2 linked regions of the Coturnix japonica genome follow. The protein of the gene in region 1 purifies or fractionates together with the protein of each later gene. This does not show direct contact. Links are inferred from orthologs where the notes say so. Each region holds a gene or a part of one and is shown on either strand. Other genes may lie near its edges.

Evidence for each region. The genes of interacting proteins can lie anywhere in the genome.
Region 2: the proteins of MTMR4 (region 1) and DNAJC10 purify together in Homo sapiens (affinity purification with mass spectrometry; 3 studies listed by BioGRID and IntAct, counting the BioPlex papers as one, with this or other methods). This does not show direct contact. The link is inferred for Coturnix japonica from reciprocal best matches to the Homo sapiens genes MTMR4 and DNAJC10.

What each region holds. Positions count from the first base shown.
Region 1 is NC_029534.1:395,805-400,982, reverse strand, and holds the end of MTMR4 (myotubularin-related protein 4), read left to right. Parts: coding exon 1-1,059; intron 1,060-1,414; coding exon 1,415-1,525; intron 1,526-1,838; coding exon 1,839-1,927; intron 1,928-2,223; coding exon 2,224-2,401; 3' UTR 2,402-4,478; downstream 4,479-5,178. UniProt on the Homo sapiens protein: Lipid phosphatase that specifically dephosphorylates the D-3 position of phosphatidylinositol 3-phosphate and phosphatidylinositol 3,5-bisphosphate, generating phosphatidylinositol and phosphatidylinositol 5-phosphate.
Region 2 is NC_029522.1:12,188,656-12,193,833, forward strand, and holds part of DNAJC10 (dnaJ homolog subfamily C member 10), read right to left. Parts: intron 4,167-5,178; coding exon 4,033-4,166; intron 2,642-4,032; coding exon 2,588-2,641; intron 2,229-2,587; coding exon 2,081-2,228; intron 1,321-2,080; coding exon 1,201-1,320; intron 103-1,200; exon of another isoform or gene 61-102; intron 1-60. UniProt on the Homo sapiens protein: Endoplasmic reticulum disulfide reductase involved both in the correct folding of proteins and degradation of misfolded proteins.

The DNA.
Region 1 (5,178 bases):
GGCAGCGTGGTGGCTGCTGCTGAGACACAGCAAGTGGAGGAGCAGCAGGAAAGTGCCCCCCCACCAGCCAGCAGTGCTTTCAACAGCAGTGAGTGTGAAGAGCAAAGCAAGAAGCTGAACAACTGGGCTCCTGTGCCAGCAAACGGCGTGTCTGTGGAGGCAGAAAAGGGAAACGGAACACACATGGAGGAACTGGATGGTGCATGCCCAGCTCCAGATCCTTCCAAACAGGAAAATGTTGACGGGGTTTCCACCAGTTCTGGAAAGCAATTAGAATCCTGTTCCCAGGAACCTTTGAAGGCTGCTGGCTTGGCACCCAGTGGAGAAGGCTGCCCCAAGAAAAACACCACCTGCCAAGACATTCCCAGCCAGGAGCCACTGGCGCCCAGTGCTCCTTGTCAGGAGCCGAGCATCCCCTGCCCAGATGAAGACAACAGCAAAGGTTATGCTGGAAGGAGGGGGCTCTGTGAGGATCCCTGCCGGATGGGGAGAGTCCCACTAGAGCAATGGCGCAAGCCCATCTCCCAGAGCCAGAGCAGCGAGTTCTCCTTTTTGGGGTCCAACTGGGACAGTTTTCAAGGAATGGTGACATCGCTCCGCAATGGGGAGCCCACGCCCAGACAGCTCCTGTCCTACGGTTGTTGCAGTAAGAGGTTGAGCAGCAAACAGCTGCGGGCACCGGGCCTGTGTTTCAGTGGCCAATGGTCTGCCAGGGAAGGTGCAAAAGGCTCAGTCTGCTCTGGGCACATCGGCACGCATTTTGCAGGCTCCGCAGGGAAGCCCAGCCGCTCGTGGCTGCCCTGCCACGTGAAGCAAGCGCCTGGTCCCAAGCACATGCCACCGAAATGCCCTTCTCCTGTGCCTCCTCTCTACCTGGATGACGACGGGCTCCCTTTCCCCACGGATGTGATTCAGCACAGACTGCGGCAGATCGAGGCCAGCTACAAGCAGGAGGTGGAGCAGCTCCGCAGGCAGGTGCGGGAGCTGCAGCTGCGGTTGGACATCCGCCACTTCTGCGCCCCACCGGCTGAACCGCCCATGGACTACGAGGATGATTTCGTAAGTAGCTCTCACAGCTTCAGCTGCGCAGTCTCTGCCAGCAGCAGCCCCTGCGCACCCCCCCACACCGCCTGCTCCAAACTACATTCATGTTCCTATAACTTCAGAGCAGATGGTTAAGACCACTGCTGTGTTTCTTCAGCCCCTCTCCCCTCATCCACAAGCCCCGTCCTCGTGCCTCCTGCAGGTATTTCTGCTTCCCGGGGGCCAAGCAATGGCTGCTTTGCAGTCACAAAAACCTCAGTGCTTTGCCCCTTGCACAGGGAAACTCAGAGCCACTCATGTGCCCCTCACGAGCACTGTGTGGCTGCAGAGGGAGCGCCCTGGGACACGATTTGTGACTCTCCTTTTGCAGACTTGTCTGAAGGAATCAGATGGCAGCGACACTGAGGACTTCTGCTCTGATCACAGTGAAGATTGTTTGTCTGAAGCGAGCTGGGAGCCTGTTGACAAGAAGGAGACCGAGGTACGTGTGTTGTAAGAGCAAATGCCGTGAGTGCAGCAGGAGAGGATGTTTCCTTTCTGGCAGCTGATTTCTATGGTTACAGCAATGATGACTAGGCTGAAAGCAGGGCTGAGAGAAGCCACCCTTGTCCTTTAGGCAAGAGAGTCTGTCAGAATCCTCATCTGCTGCTTCCCACAGAAAGGAACCCGTGGGATGGGCTGTCTCAGGACTGGCCTGTTCTGGTCCAGAGCAACATCTCAGCCTGTATTCGGGTCCGAAGGTCTGGTCAGTGTGATGTTAGACATGGAGCTGATGAGGACTGTGTTTGCCCTAGGTCACGCGGTGGGTTCCAGACCACATGGCCTCGCACTGTTTTAACTGCGATTGTGAATTCTGGCTGGCAAAACGGAGGCATCACTGCAGGTAAACCTTAGTTTTGCTGCAGTTCCACTTTTCTCCTCTGCTTATCTCTTAAACCTCCCCAAACGCTTGTCTGCAACGTTCGTCCCCTCCACCTCCAAGAAGAAACTGTTGTGACCTTGTTTTATTTGCTGGATCTCAGGAATTCCCTGCAGATTCCCAGTCTGCTGTGCTTTCCTTGTTCCCATTTCCCCAGAGTCTTTGGTCCTTCTGATCCTGAACAGGGTCCTTTCTCCTTGCTGAAGTTTTGCTCTGCTGTTCACAGCTCTCCTCTCACTGCCTCCCTTTCTTCCTGGCAGGAACTGTGGGAATGTGTTTTGTGCCGGCTGCTGCCACCTGAAGTTGCCCATCCCTGATCAGCAGTTGTATGACCCCGTCCTCGTTTGTAACTCCTGTTATGACCACATCCAAGTGTCTCGTGCCAGGGAGCTCATGAGCCAACATCTGAAGAAGCCCATCGCCACAGCTTCCAGCTGAATGCCAGACAAGGGACCTGTCTAAGCCCAGCCTTTTCTCTCATGGGTTTGAAGGGTGACTCTGCCTCCACTGTAATTGTGAAGGCCTTTGGTGCAACACTTGAACACCAAGCTTGAATGCACTGTCTTCAACAGTCTTACGATCTGACTGGAGCAGAGGAGCTCAGATTAGAGAGTACAATGTGCCTCCACTCTGGTACCAGTGGGCCCGTACATTGTAGTCTGACCTAGGGCAAAAGAGGGGATTGCAACCTCTTATGTTTGTGGGCTGGAAAGCAATGTTCTCACAGATATTGCCTGTGCAAAGTACCCCCAAAGCAATAGAAAGGCATGTTTAGAACCAACTCCCCCAACAAAGGCAGGCTGCTGTAACAAGAAGGAAGAGGGCAGAGTTGAGGTGGTACTATGTGCTTTGGAAGGGCCTCAGCCTGGAGCAATTCTGTAGATTCTCTTTCCATGAGTGTGATTTGTGATCAGCTTGGTGAACAAGACTCATTAGCCATCACCGATTGATTTTCTCTTGAGCGTTGAAGAGAAATTCATTCTGGCTGAAAACAGGCCGAGCAGATGTTGCCTGTTTTCACGCTGTGCTAGGGTTGGTGAATGCACCTGACTCTGCCCCTGCCCGCCAGCTGTGCGGGGAGATGGGAGATTGGCTTTTTCACTTCCTGCTCTGCCCGTCTGCTTTGTCTGCAGTAGTGTCACAGCCTGGTGCTAACACAGGAATGGCACCCTGATCCTCTCCTGGCATGGAAACAGAACTCGTGTTCCTGTGTTGCTCCTCCTCCCCTTTTCTGCCCTCAGCTCTCCACTTCCTACTGCTCTGTATCCTGAAAACTTGATACCTTGAGGGTATAGGCCATAATATGTTGTTTTACCTCCTGGAATGTGCTGTCTGGTGTATGTGAGGGTTTCAGTCCAAATGCTGCTATATATTTCTGTGCACTTAATGTAACCCGAAAAAGGGAGAATGAAGCATCGATACCAAAATGGAGGTGGCTGACATAGACACTGCGGTCTGTGCTTTTCACTTTAGGATGTACAACCAAGCTACAGCGATAAACATGACACGTGGCATCTGTTCAGTGGTGGAAACAATATCTCTGGTTTGCCCCAGTGCTGCCTAAAATGCCTCTTGAATTTGACTTCCTTTTTTTCGTCTCCTGTACAGTGGTCAGAGTTCAGAGTTGCCAACTTGCGATTGCCTCTCTGCCTGATCCTTGAAGTACAGAGCAGGAATCCCAACTCATTCCAAAAAAAGAAAAGTAACTGGGTTTAGAAAGTAAGAAAGGTTTCGAAAGAGAAGATGGCGCTGGGTGAAATTGTGTTGAATTGCTGGATCTCTGTGGGAGATCCATCCTGCCTCCTGAGATATCGGCAAGTTTTAGTGAGGAAGAAGGGTTTGAATGTGGGGCATTTCTTCCCAGAAATGTAGGTTTTCTTCCCAAAGACATGAAAATGCCCTTTATGTGCACCGTGAGCTGAGACTTCTGATGTTTGGAGGGAGAAACTGTGAGGGCATTTGGTCAAACAAGGCAAAGAACTTTACGCTGTTGTCATCTCCCAGATTTTTGCTAGTGGTTTGTCATCTCCATCAGAGGGAATGGAACAGTGACCCTTTTCCTGCACTTTGATATGTCAGCCTCTGGTTTTGTAAATCCCAGTAGTGCAAACAAAGCTAGCACCATCTGAAGACCCTGTTCCTACTTGGACTCTGCTTCTTTTCCATACTGGGAACAACCGATTTGGCTTTGGGACGAGAAGGCACCTTGCTTCAGATTCTCCCCTGCCTTGTACCTTGCAGTCATTGCCAGACATGGAAGAGTGACCATTGGGCTGGCAGAAGGATTTGCTCCTGTTTTACACATGTTGGAATGACTGCAAGCAATAAGGAAGCCAGAAACTAGGTACTCCTGGCCCTTCTGTTCAGGCCATTAGTCCAAACTGCTTTTAGCTCTTGTGAGTTTCAGCGTCACAATGTGCTGGCCAAAAACTCTAAAATCAGTTCTATAGCATTGTGACAAACAAAATGTGCTGTACAACTCAATACAGTTGAAATAAAATCTCTATATTAGTGCTGCTGTGTCTGGGCCCATTATTTCATTTGTGGTACATTCTTGCTCACCATTTCCTTGGTTGTTACCTGCTGCCCTGTCCCTTGGTTAAGGTATGTCAGGAATTTAGTATTCCTTCTCACAAATAATAATCATGGCGAGGACACAAAGCACATTATGTCATGGCCTTCTACTCCAAAGCCCTGTGCTCTTTACCAAACAAACCCATGGCTGCCCGGGATTCCAACACCTTCCAGTCTCTCCCTTAATGACTCAGTGAGGAATTTTTCTCAAGAAGAGAGCTACTAGGGAGTAGTCAACCTTAGAAGGCAACAATTTGTGGGTGATAATCAGGAATGATTTTTCTGCAAATAAAACAAAACCCCACAGCTGAACTTCCAGGCCCTAGGATTAACGTTTGCAGTGTCATCTGGCTGCACAGAGAAGGGCTGGATGCTAGAACTGCTACCTGACTTCTGGCATCTCATGTCCAGATGGAACAGGAACTGAACAGAACTGCCCCAAGTGCATTCAAAGCTCTGTGGACATTTTTGCTCAATATACCTGAAACTTGTAGTGTCAGGGTGGCCATGCCAGCAAGGACACTGCACGTTCATGAGTACTGAGCACAGAACAAAGCATTATCGCTTCAGGAACATAAAGCCATAATTTACCAACACGTTCAGCCTGAAGTAATCTATGTGTGTATGCTGAAATGTGTCTA
Region 2 (5,178 bases), on another chromosome or scaffold:
AGAGAAAATTAAAGAAAAAATTGTTGCATGACACTGAATAGGAAATTTCCTTACTTTTAGATAAAATCCAGGAGGAGTGGAAGGAGGCAGACAGTGGCTCTGGTAGGTTGATTTATGATTCAGTGATAAAATTTTACCTTTATTTCAACAATGCTGATTCTTTTTTGCAGTAAGAACCACTCCTAGGTGCAGTTTTTAGAACTATACAAACTTGGTCATTTAGGTTACAGAAATCTGAAAGAGCTATTTGCCATTTTTTCTCATTCATTCAGCTCGGTGTTTAATGTTGATGACATTTAACAGATCTGGAACTTGTGATAGATTTCTTAAACATCGATTATGATGTAGGTCCCTATTTGGAGACCTGAGAAGCCATTATTCTGAACCCAGAATAGTCTTACCGAGTTTGAGGGCACTGTGCAAGTAAGGATTTCTAGCATTTTTTTGTAAGAGGTGGATATTATATACATATGTATGTGTATATATGTGTTTACAGTTGAGTTGGCTAAACTATGAATATACACTGAATGATTCTCTTTCAGGTTAATTCACCTAAAGATGACTGTGATTTTTGTGAAATGTGATAGTAGTCAATTGCTCGTACAAGAATAAAGGCATTTTCGTAGAACTGTATGAACACTTCAGTTTTTAAAAATTTAATATTTCTAATCTGTTAATAGATATTAGTCTTAGTTCTTTATAGTTGAAGTAGTTTCTAAAGGCTTAAGACAGAAATCAACTCAGTATTTTCTATGAATGTTCTATAATACAAGTCAATGAAATACTTATGATTGCAGTGAAAGTGTATTTCTCCTTAGTCACAATGAGAATGTCCACATTTCATTCTGAGAGACTGCCTGCTTTAGCAGCTAATGCTAACAGTGGTTTACAGACTGTTTTGTCACTTCAGTCTCCTGCTCAATTCAACCCCAGTTCTGATTAAGTCTCTGCTTTAGTTGCTGTTTGATTAATTTACAACTTATTATTTTTCGGTAAGATGTCACTACTGTATTTTGGGTATTACTAAAATCAATTACAATTTTATTTCTTGAATATCTAAATTCTCTGCTTCCATATGCTATAGAATATAGAATGCCATATGCTTCCATATGCATAGAAACAGTCTCAATTTTAATGGGAAATGAAATAAATCTACTACCAGTACCTGCCCAGCAGTGTACACAAAGGGAGACACTTTACCTTTGTTCCTTGGTAGGGGTAAAACTTAACAGTAGGGTAGGCTCTGATATCAGCACTTTGGCAGGTCTGACCGTATGCTTGACAGTCTACTTTTCCAGCTTTTACTTTTCCTTTAATGGCCTAAAAAGAATTATTTTTGTTAGAAACAAGCTTCATGTTTCCATGGCTGACTATAAGCAGATAATTTGAATAAGCCAGCAGTGCAGCTAAAAATAAGCAGAAGAGGTTGCTCAAATCTTTTAAATAACTCATAGTCACTTGCTTCATTCTCAGTGTCCCACAGCCTTGTATCAGAAGTTGCCCTACATTCTGCAGAGCACACATTCTTGAATTCAGAGCACAGCACACCACGGTTCCAAAGGGCCCCGAGTCATGAACTGAAGTTTGTCTAAAGGAGGGCCTGTATGCATGTGTTTGTATCAGGGCCAGTGCCCACTGACAAAGGGAACCTAAAAAGGGCAGAATTCTAATGACAGTGTATCTGATATCTCAGTTGTTATGCAAATAGGGTTAGTGAGGTTTTGATTTGAAATTACAGCAGACTAGTATGAAAACAGGGAATGCCTGACTTAAAAATGGAAATAAGTCTTCTCTCGCTATCACAAGGGTAAAATGCTGTATTCATTTTTTCTCTGTACAAGGCAATAACTGCCTACCTGTAAGATAATAAAATCAACAGCGAATAATGAACCAAGACAGCAATGGTTAGCTATTTAAAAACTGAAATATTAAAAGATTTCTCCCCTATAGCTAGAAAGGAGTAAGTGATTTTTGGATAACTGCCTAGGAATAGTGTGGTGGCGAGTGATGCTGACTATTACAACCACAGTTAGTAGGGGGAAAAAAAAATAGCAATCTGCTGATATAGTTAAAAGCCTACCCTTGCAAGGATCTCAAATTCGGGAGCAAAATTTTGGCAAGGTCCACACCAGGGAGCATAAAAGTCAATGACCCAGTGATCCTTCCCATTCAGAACTTTTTCTGTAAAACTCTGCGGAGTCAGGTCTACGGACGCTTGTGGTAAATATCTGAAGAAAGGAAGAATGTCAGTCATCATCATCCATTTGGTGCCTCAAACATATTTGCAGGTTCCACTGAAGTGCAAGAAAAGTGGTTTGGAAATTCCTGCTTCACATGTTGTACTATTAAGGAATCACTTAGAAGTTGTAGACAAAAGATCAGCTGTTCGGGAAATGGGTGCACAGAGTAGCAATATTTCTCCATGCTTTTAAAAGCTTGACTTAAAAGATATGGGAACATTAAAATCTTAAGTATTACAAACATGACAGTGGTTTCTAGTTCTTGATTTATGTACAGTTTGGATATAAAATTCTATGAACAACCAACCTTATGCAACCTGGTTGCAAACTTTAATGCTGTCACTTACCCTAACGCCCAGCCTCTCAGTGAATATGAATCTCTGTGCCATCCATTATAGCTACTGTAAGAAGAAAGCAAAAAGCTGGTTACATCTTGGCTGTCTGTTTTGAAAAACCAAAAAGTCTGTTAAGTGGGTGATAAAATAATGAATCTTAAAGCATGCATACACTTTAAAATACATTTTGCCTTGCTTTCAGTTCTGAATAATTAAAGGCATTGTTATTCAAAGGTAGAGAATTAAGGAGCAGTAGAACAAAGAAAGGAAAGAAGACAATTCTGTGTCAAGAGACTGAGAAACATGCTGTGGAGTGCTTGAGCTTTGCTAGCTCTGTCTGAATGATTTTTAGTGATAGTTCTATAACTGCAGACATTAAGAAACATAAGAATTAAATTGGAATGCCTTTATATACATATTTTAACTGATCTTTCTTTATTATAATGGAATTATTGTTACTTATATATGTTCCCCTCAAGTTAACAGTAGAAAAGCAAGGCAAACGAGGAACTTAGACCAAGATTTATTATATGAACTGTCGAGGTACTGTTTAGCTTGAAATTCCAGAGAAAGTTTAGTATCCATTTGCAGCTTCATAAAGTATTTGTCAGAATAGAGGTATCGGGTGAAAATCTGACCTTTTTTAGGTTAATTTGATTTAAAGACACATACCAATATTTTTGCAGGAAAAAAGTAACTCAGCATTATGAATTTGGCAAATTTTGTTTTTTTCAAATATGAAATAAAAGCCTGCTTTTGGGAGAAACTTTGTCTGGAAGAAGAAAATAAAAGTACGCAATCCCATGATGAAAGCTACTAAAGCCAAGCCTGCTATTAAGTGTTACAGTGAAGAAGCATTAGTTTGTTATCTGCCAGCATTTTATCAGCTTTCCAGTTTGTAAAAGAATAAGTGAGCCTTCTAATATTTCAGACCTGTGGCATTCACCTCCTGAAATCCCCAGCTCTTCACACGGTACTGTGAAACAAAGGGGATGGGCTCTTTGGCTACATTTCATTTCCCTGAGAGTTGTTAGTGGTGTTAGTGAGTTATATTTTCATATGAATTATACAGTGAATGGGATGATGTGCAAAGACAATTCTTGCAGTGATGCTAAGGATGGTCAGAACAAATTTATACCACGCTGTTCTTTGAAGCTGCAAATAAGTAAACCTATTAATATTTTTAGAATCTATGATTTACATCATCTACTTTAACACGCTACTTACCTTGGAAAACTGGCCATTGCTAAACAGGAAGAAAGAAAAAACCCTGTTCCTGAGTTTCCGTTTAACTTGCATTTCAGCAAATTAAAATGGCATGTGTTTGAAGTCAACGATGACTGGTAAGGAAGTATTACAGAAGCCTGTTATAGTAGCATTTAATGAACATTTTTTCCTTGCATCAGAACATGTGACTTTAGTGTGAGACCATTCACTTTCTGAGCTGAGGTACTTACTAATACTGATGAGCTGTGCTTGATTTTTGAGGAAAGAGTCTTATTTCAGGATATCCCCGAACATTTTCTTGGTGACAGAAAGAGTAGAATTTTTGACAATCCACGCTGCCTACACTGATTAATCCATTTAACATCTAATAAAAGAAAAGAAACAATCAAATGTGTTAATTGGTAATACTACAGTCTCAGAACTGATGGCATAATCACTTGAATTAACTGAGCAGGACAACAAAACTAACCAAGATGCTCCAAGGCTTTTTTTTTTTTCCCCTATAAATAGCTCACTGGTATCTAATGGGAGCCAGCCATCCAGCTATGCTGCTAGCACGCACATCATGTTTTAGTATAAGTTGCAAGTAGGCAGATTACAAGGCTTGGCTTAAAAGGAACAAGCAAGTGTGGCTATTGGGTATGACTACCATGTTTCATATCTCAGTCTCAGCAGTTAAGACAGATCCCAGTGCACTGTAGCTGTGCTGTCAGTTTCACAGCTCATAAGTGTCTTAGACATGCTGACTTTGTAGCAAAGGCCCAAACCACCTTGCAAGGGCAAGGAAACCTATAGTTAGAGTGTATCCTGTGGGGCTTGTAGTTATAGATGTTTGACTAGAACATAGAACTTGAATAGATCTCCTAGGCCAGGCTAGTTTAAAATGTCTGAAAGACACAGACCAGCTTTCAGGTCTCTCACATTTTGCTCAGTTTCCACTTCAGGTTCCTGAAACACGTCCAAAAAACTGGGATGATTGTCAGTGACTGTGGTACTACCTTAGCAAATAAGTGAACACTGTAATAACCTTGCAAGAGAAAAGCCTTCCATACTCAGTCAGTGTAAATGGGAAGGATGTAAAATTCAGTTAACTGGCCATCACCCTTAAAGAGTATTGAATTTAACATTTATTTACTTTTAGTGAAGAAACAAAACCTCTGGAAAAAACTATCTGGACAAGAATTGGGATATGTAAAACTGAGTTCCTCTGATACTTCAGTCAAAACCAGAGCTCTCACCAAGGTCATCTTAAAAATGACTAATGGTCATAGAGAACAATTGTGGATAAAGTGGTGAATTATTGCAACTAACTCTTAGCTGACTTACTTTTCATATTTTATTTTATGCAAGTGCAGAGCTATTATCTCTGCCAGGTG